2 linked regions of the Xenopus tropicalis genome follow. The protein of the gene in region 2 interacts with the protein of the main gene of each other region in a pairwise test. Links are inferred from orthologs where the notes say so. Each region holds a gene or a part of one and is shown on either strand. Other genes may lie near its edges.

Region 1 (4,608 bases), about 33 Mb from region 2:
GGGCAGGGGTCCCCAACCTTTTTTTACCTGTGAGCCAAATTCAAATTTAAAAACGTGGGGAGCAACACAAGCATAAAACATGTTCCTGGGATGCCAAATAAGGACTGTTATTGGCTATTTGGTAGCCCCTTATGGACCGGCAGCCTACAGGAGGCTCTGTTTGGCAGTACACCAGGTTTTTATGCAACCAAAACTTGACTCCAAGCCAGGAATTCAAAAATTAGCAACAAGTTGCTCACAAGCCACTGGTTGGGGATCACGGCCCTAGGACCAAACTATTGCATTACAATGTAGAGGATACGAAAAGTCGGAGCAAGGTCTGCATCAATAAGCCCCCACTCAGCAACTCCTGCAACAGAGGTATGTGACTAAGGTCCTATCGCTACAGTGCCCTCCATAATGTTTGGTACAAAGACACATTTTTCTTTGAATTGCCCCTCAGTGTAAAATTTTAAATCAATTCAGATGTGATCAATGTGCACATTCCAGACTTTACTTTAAAGTTATCTGCATACATTTAAGTTTGCTCGAGGTAGTATACAAGCGTTAGGGCTCTGGCACACGGGGAGATTAGTCGCCCGCGACAAATCTCCCTGTTCGCGGGCGACTAATCTCTCGAATTGCCATCCCACCGGTGACAATGTAAGTCGCCGGTGGGATGGCACACACGGCGGCGCGATTTCGGCAAATCGCTGAAAATACCTCGTGAGGCAACTTCGCCGATCTGCCGAAATCGCCTGCGAAGCGTGCCGTCCCACCGGCGACTTACATTCTCGCTGGTGGGATGGCAATTCGGGGAGATTAGTCGCCCGCGAACAGGGAGATTTGTCGCGGGCGACTAATCTCCCCGTGTGCCAGAGCCCTTAAAAACGCTCAATCATTATTGGCACATTTGTGTAGTACAGACCTCGAGCTACATGCCAATAAAGACTGAACGTTCCTCTTGCCATCACTCCGATACAGGTAAATCTTTGTCTAGTCTGTCAATAACACATTTTCCCAGAATTCTGTAGGCAAACTGTAATCTGGCCATTTTTGTGGCTAACTAGTTTGCCACACTGGTTTGCATCTTGCAGTGTAGCCTCTGTATTTCTGTTCATGATGTCTTCTGCAGATAGTAGTCTCTGACAAAGATACAGCTGCCTCCTGAAGAGTGTTTCTGATCTGTTGGACAGGTGTTTTAGGTGATTTTTCTTTACCATAGTGAGAATTTTTCTGTCATTAGCAGTGGAGGTCTTTCTCAGCCTACCAGTCCCTTTGCAATTACAGAGCACACCAGTACATTCCTTCTTCTGAATGATATTGCAGACAGTTGATTTTTGTAATCCTATGGTTTGACCAATGTCTCTAAGGGCTGTGACTCACGGGGAGATTAGTTGCGCCACAACAAATCTCCCTTGCCTTGAGCGGAAACTTTGGCGACTACGGCAAATCGCGCCACCGCATATGCCATCCTACCGGAGATTTACATTCTAACCAGTGGGATGGCATTGCGGGGAGATTAGTCGCCCGTGACAAGGGAGATTTGTTGTGGCGCGACTAATCTCCCCGTGTGTCACAGCCCTAAAGGCTACTAAACTCCAGAAAATATCCTGCCATAGACAATACTGAGAATTGCCTTTGCTAAAACACATGTAGAGACAATTATCAGTAAATGATCAGCATTGTCTATTTTAGTAGCCACAACAAGTAGCTGCTACTAGTAGCTCTGTGTGTCTTCACCCTAATGGTTTTATTCTTGTTTTTCAGCCTTATAATAGCTTCCTTGACTTTCATTAACATAAGCAAGCAAGGTATCTTATCCCTGCACTAATGAAGCAATAAAACACACCTGAGTTATCTCAAACACCTGTAAATCCAATCGTCCCAAACATTATGGTGCCCTGAAATGAGGGGGACTATGTATAAAAAGTGTTGTAACTTCTACATAGTAAAAACTAAAATACATGCAAATAACTTTCATTTTAAGTCTGGAATGTGCACTTTAATCATGTCTTAATTGCTTGATTTAAAATTATACACTGAGCAGCACAGGGGTAAATTTAAAAAATTTGGGTCTTTGTCCCAATCATTATGGAGGGCACTGTCCTTTTAATTCTGGCCCTGCATGTATAGGGTCCTTTGAAAGCCTCTCTAAGGGCTCTGGCACACGGGGAGATTAGTCGCCTGCGACAAATCTCCCTGTTCGCGGGCGACTAATCTCCCCGAAATGCCATCCCACCGGTGAAAATGTACATACGCAGCGGCGCGATTTCAGTGAAATTGCGAAAGTTGCCTTGAGAGGAAACTTCCGCAATTTCACTGAAATTGCGCGCCGCCGCGTATGCCATCCCACCGGCAATTTACATTTTCGCTGGTGGGATGGCATCACGGGGAGATTAGTCGCCCGCAAACAGGGAGATTTGGGCAAAGATAAGTCAGATAGCGATTGTGTATAAACACAGAATACAGAGTAATAACTGCGCTAGGAGTAAACAAATAAAAAGCAAGTAAAAGTCAGCTGCACCACAAATCGTGGATCCAATAGTCCACTTGTAAATAATAAAAGTTCCCCACAGGTGCGCTTGTTCCAGACACCTTCACAGCTCCTCCACGTCACAGCAATACTTTACAAAGTAGCCTTTTCATATATGCACCTCACAGTAAGTGGAGACAAACATGTATCACTTTTCTCCCTGTTCTAAAACAAATGGCCAGGGATCATGAAGCATGTACTGGATCGTGAACAATTTCCCTGCTACTGGATCTACTCACTGTGTCTCAGATTGCAAAGTGCATATCACGCCGTTTACTACTCCATATTCTCCCTCCGTGCTGATAACAAAGACTTCCTCCTGTCCTGAATTCCACAAGCGACCACGTGACTCCCTCTGGTCAATCACGTTGTCCCTTCTCTCCTGTGTGAGAGGAATGCAACAAAGCAAGGGGGGGTGGGAGGGGGAAGCGTGCAGAGGTAGGATTCAATCAGGCTGTGTAGTTATGCCCATAGGCGGATTTTCAATAAGGCTTGGGGAGGAACCTGCTTTGGCACCTTAAAACCTGGCTCTGTTTCTGCACTTCCCTGCAAATCTTCTCTGGGTTCTGCAGAAATCAGCTGTGCTCTGATTGGATCTTTGTTCTTGTGGATTCACCAATCAAAGCACAGCTTTCTGGACAGGCAGTAAAATTTACCAATCAAGGCTTAGATGCAGACAGGGATCGGGAAATTTTGCTGGAGGCAGTGCAGAATTGAAGACTAAAAAAAAAAGAATGTGCGGGCTGTAAACTTTACCCAAGAACCAACTTTGAACTTTTGCTGCAGTTTTCATCCCACAGATACTATACACAAGTACTATACATGTTCTAAAGACTGACCCACTAGCTGAAATTAAATTGGTTTTTGTCACCTGACATATATAATATCCCTATCCCCTACCCTAACAGATGGAGGGTAAGTTAACTTTTCCCCCCGACAAAGCTCATTGTGCTTTAATATATTTGTTATGGTTTTTTGCACTATTTTTCTTTTACCTTTGTCATTGTTTTTTTCATTTCTAGTTAGTTACAGTGGAGCCCATGCTGTGTATCAGTGCCAGTGTTATAGTGCCAGGGCCTGAATATCTGCCATCTGTACCCACTGCTCCTCATGGCATATAATGTGCTGGTTTTGTATATAAAGACTGCGTCTCACTGTATATAACGTGCTTGGGATGTCAGTACCTGCTGCCTCTCTCTATAAAGCTAACTTAAACACATCTAAAGGGGTGGTTCACTTTTAAGTTAACTTGTAGTATGTTATAGAATGGCCTATTCCTAGCAGCTTTGCAATTGGTCTTCCTAGTTAATCTTTTATAGTTTTTAAATAATTTGTCTTTCACTTCTGCCTCTTTCCAGCTTTCAAATGAGGGTCACTAACCAAAAAGTATTGCTCTGTGAAGCTACAGTTTTATTTTTCCATACAGGCCCCTAAACTATTCATATTCCCATCTCTTATTTAAACCACTACCTGGTAAATAAGACCCTAGCAACCAGATAGCTGCTGAAATACGAAATGGAGAGCTGCTGAACAATAAGCTAAATAACCGGAAAACCATTAAAAATAAAAGAGGACCAATTGCAAATTGTCTCAGAATATCAATGTCTACCTTATATTAAAAGTTAATTTAAAGGTGAACTACCCCTTGAAGCTAACTGATCACAAACATAAATGTATAGAGAACCCCTAACAGAAGTGCACGTATGAATGCTTTTACATCCTAAGCATTTTAGGGTTAAAAAAAGCACCCCCACCTGCACTTTTGCACAGTAACCCTGGAAGTCAGTGGCAAGAGGTAGTTGGGAGGTTAATTTTTTACACCAGCAGTGAATCCACTAAGTCTCACATTAGCTGTAGGTCAGACTCTGTCTTCAGCCTCCCCAAACAAAAAAGTCACCCTCCGCCTATGGTTATGCCAAAGAACATTTATTTGATCATAATAAAAGCCCAACGCGTCTCGTATGAAAATACTTTCTCAGGGGCATTATCAGAGGGAAATGCCGTCCCCATTATATTATGTCATCAATTAATTATGCAAATGATCTAAAAGTCAATCAAGTTTTATACACACAATAAATATCACTTCTAAAATG
Region 2 (3,938 bases):
TCCTTTAGACCAAATAATGAAGAACTTGGTGCATCACAGCCTAAAATCCTTAAGCAAGAGGTAAGTACCTGCGTATAGCGGCAGTATAGTACCATATTTATTATGAAAGGATCCTTCTTTGTATCAGGAAAAGGGTCAGATCCAATTCAGTGAGGAAACCGTATCTCCAGTCAGCTTCCCCTAGAGACATTGATGCAGTTTTCTCCTCACTAATTTGTGACTAATACTCACTAGTGGATAAAACAAATCTTTATTTTTTATTGAATATATCTAGAAGCTATATATACATAATCATTCATTGAACTCTTTCTTTTCTACAATATTTTTACAATTGCTTTTGTCACAAAGATCAATATATTTTTAATGTATTTCAATAGGAGAAGAGAGAAAGTTCTTATTATCCATTTATATTATATGAGGCACTAATTCTTATCTTTTTATATATGTCCAGGCTGTGGAGATGCCTTTGCAGCTAGACACAAAGAGTGGCTCTGTATCAATGCGCCACAGTGTGGAAGAAGGCAGTGGCAGTATGTCAGGGGAGAGCATGGACGGCAGTTTGCAAGGTAACCGTGTTCTCTGTGACACCTATAATCCAATATTGTCTCTGCAACAATAAATTATACCTGGATCCAAACACCCCAAAATAACATTAAAGTCACTGCTGTACATGCCTCTGTGCTGATCTATCAATTACCAAAGCTTACAATGTGCTGAAGCACATTATACAATAGGTAGATTCTGTACTATTCGTCTAAATAAGCATCTGCATTCATTTTAAAAATGACTAATGAAGTAGAAACTCTTACTTAACTCGTACTTATGTCCAAACACTTCCGTATAGGTGTGCTGAGTGCCATTGCATCCATTCCACCTCTTTTGCTAAACCTTGCAAAGTTTATCTATTGATACAAGTGTAAGCTTATAGTAAATTAGCCCTTCTATTACCACAAGCTACACCGTATTTTACCCAGGATGAGACTGTATCCTTCAGGGGTGAGCCCTCACTTTATATGGAGGCCAGGCATATATGTTGTTGTATTTCTCAATAAATGGGCGCCAGTGGTTCTTAACCTTGAAACCATGAACTGTTTATTTACACAGCCACTTATAGTGTAATTACAGCATAGAATAGGTAGGTAGTAGCATCTCACAGCATAGGCAGTACTTACACAGCATAGTCAGAATAACCCTTTAGCTGCAGGGTACAATGGGTTAACTCCCAGCTTTCAGGTATATGCTTCCAGTGGAACCTGGGTGATCACTATCTAACCCTAGGTCTGTACACTGTTAACCCTACTCTGGGCAGTATTATACCCGGGATTATAATCCCTTTACAATTCCTGGTCGGAGCCAAAATGCTGCTCACTAAATAGCCCTGCCTGTCTATCACACCTAGGGGCTGATTTACTAAGACACGATTTCGAATCCGAATTGGAAAAATTCCGATTGGAAACGAACATTTTGCGATTTTTTCGGCGTCTTTACGATTTTTGCGTAAAAACGCGAGTTTTTCGGCATCTTTACGATTTTTGCGTAAAAACGCGAGTTTTTCGTAGCCATTACGAAAGTTGCGCAAAGTCGCGATTTTTTCGTAGCGTTAAAACTTGCGCGAAACGTTGCGCCATTTAAGTTTTAACGCTACGAAAAAGGCGCGACTTTGCGCAACTTTCGTAATGGCTACGAAAAACTCGCGTTTTTACGCAAAAATCGTAAAGACGCCGAAAAACTCGCGTTTTTACGCAAAAATCGTAAAGACGCCGAAAAAAATCGCAAAATTACCGATCATTCCGAAAAAAACGCAATCGGACGCATTCGGCCCGTTCGTGGGTTAGTAAATGTGCCCCCTAGTGTGATCTATAACAGGAGCTGGCTATTCTTTCTGAACCTACCTATTCCTAGATTTCCACAGTATCTCTCTGCCTGCTTGCTCAGGCAGAGAGCTTCACAAAATGGCTTCCAGCCTCATGGCTGCTGAGCCTTTTATATCACAGTGCCACCTAATGGCCAAACTGTGGAACTGCACAAGGGGTCATGCTATGACCAAGGAACAAGGGACTTACTTCCCATTACATTAACAACCCTTCGTAGCTGTCCAATACTAGGGGACCACGGAGTTAGAAAAGGTACAATTTACCAGTTCCCTACACAAGGGAACCCTGGACCCTGTGCGCCCCGCCCCATCCTGTCCCCATACCCCCAAACTGCCACCCCCCCCCCCGCTCATACACAAGGCAGCAGGGTTGTGGGGAGTACTGTAATGGGGGGGGGGGGAATGGGCCCAGAACTAGTGGTAAGTGAAAGAAGAGGTACTTGCCTGGCGCCCCCCCACCGTGGTGCCCTAGGCAGGTGCCTCTTCTGCCAACCCCTTGTTCCGGCCCTGCCTGGAGCTACTGCCACCCTGAACATACCAGTTATTCCAGGGTTCCCAAAGCAGGTTGTGTTTATAGGAACAGCAGACATATGCACTAATACTGTTTTAGCTCCAAAAGTAATGCAACCCTAACTGAAAATGTGGCAGATGCACTTGGAATTCAGGGATCAAAACACTGCTTTATGACCACAAAACATGGTGAATTCTATCAGAAAGTTGCACGTTGCACACTGCAGCCAATTCCATTTTCACTTAAAAATGCAAATGGAATGGTTCATGTGTAAATATTTTTAATTTCTGAAACTTTTATTTTTTTTAAGAAATGTCACTTTTTTCACGGTTTTGAGTTTTCCTGTAATTCACTAAAGCATTTTCTGATTTATTTTCAACTGAAAGGTGTTTTTCTAGTATATAGGAATATATGAAAACTGTAACAGTTACACAATTCCTTTATAAGGAGATAGAGTTAGTTAAAAAATATAATAGTGTGCATGCATTTTAATGTATTTCCTATTTATTGGTTGTATGTTGAATAAATGAAACACCTTTACCCCAGTTAGACAACACTAACATGTACAGATGAGTCCACAGTTTAGTTACACAGTATGAGCTCTGGTAGTTGTTTATTGTGTCTGTTCCTAGAAAGAATGTGGTATAGCCAGTTAATATCCAGGACTTTAGTACTTGGTGTGACAGCTGTATGCATGTTCTGAATGGGAGCCGTCATGCTGATGGTGATATAATTACTATGCTGGCACCCCCTCATCTGGCCTGCAGACATGTTTGTAATGTATTTCGTAAACTGTTGAAATGGAAACAGACATATTATTATTAAGACATTATAATTATTATTATTATTATTATTAAGGCTCATCTACAATTGTGAGTTTATTTGTAAAGCACTGAAATTGCCCAGTCATTCACAAAGGCTTCATTTACTCTTGCACCATTACATGCCCCTGAAAACTTGTGTCAGCCCCAATGCCATGCCCAACCTGCTCCGAGGAACTACATGATAGTTCCCAGACAGACAAAAGGGGAAGCCTGCAATTACTGCCAGCCAGGTAGTCCCCTCAGTGAGTAGGTCAGGGCCACAACTGAATTGTACTATAATACAGATATTACTGAGTGGAGCCATTCCAACACCAATTCTGTAAATTAGTGATGAGTGAAATCTTTCACCAGGCATGGATTTTGCCACTGGCAGATTTTTTCATGAAATGGGCTCCAAAATTTGCCACGTGTAAAAAACATTGCGAGACAATTTTTTTGACGCGGGTCATTTTCGCTGTTTCGAGAATTTTTTGCTGTCTTGCAAATGTTTTCTAAGATTCGCACATTTTACAGTGAAGTGAAGAAAGACGAATTTGCTCATTGCTACTGTAGACCCTTGTTTTATAAGAACGCCAGCAATGAATGTTTTACTCCTTTTCCCTACAGCAGTGGCCATAAGAATCCCAACATCTCCCAGCGGCCCCACAGACCTCTCCCTTAACCTGTCACATCCTGCACCATGGAGTAGGCAAATTCTCCAGCAGACTCTAATGGATGAGGGTTTACGATT

What was found. The genes of interacting proteins can lie anywhere in the genome.
Region 1: the proteins of nab2 (region 2) and tceanc interact in binary tests that used the Homo sapiens proteins (3 or more experiments, as listed by UniProt). The two-hybrid records come from large-scale screens. The link is inferred for Xenopus tropicalis from reciprocal best matches to the Homo sapiens genes NAB2 and TCEANC.

Annotation. Positions count from the first base shown.
Region 1 is NC_030678.2:105,791,585-105,796,192, forward strand, and holds the start of tceanc (transcription elongation factor A N-terminal and central domain-containing protein), read right to left. Parts: upstream 3,063-4,608; 5' UTR 2,755-3,062; intron 1-2,754.
Region 2 is NC_030678.2:139,246,140-139,250,077, forward strand, and holds part of nab2 (NGFI-A-binding protein 2), read left to right. Parts: intron 1-8; coding exon 9-60; intron 61-451; coding exon 452-566; intron 567-3,814; coding exon 3,815-3,938. UniProt on the Homo sapiens protein: Acts as a transcriptional repressor for zinc finger transcription factors EGR1 and EGR2. Isoform 2 lacks repression ability.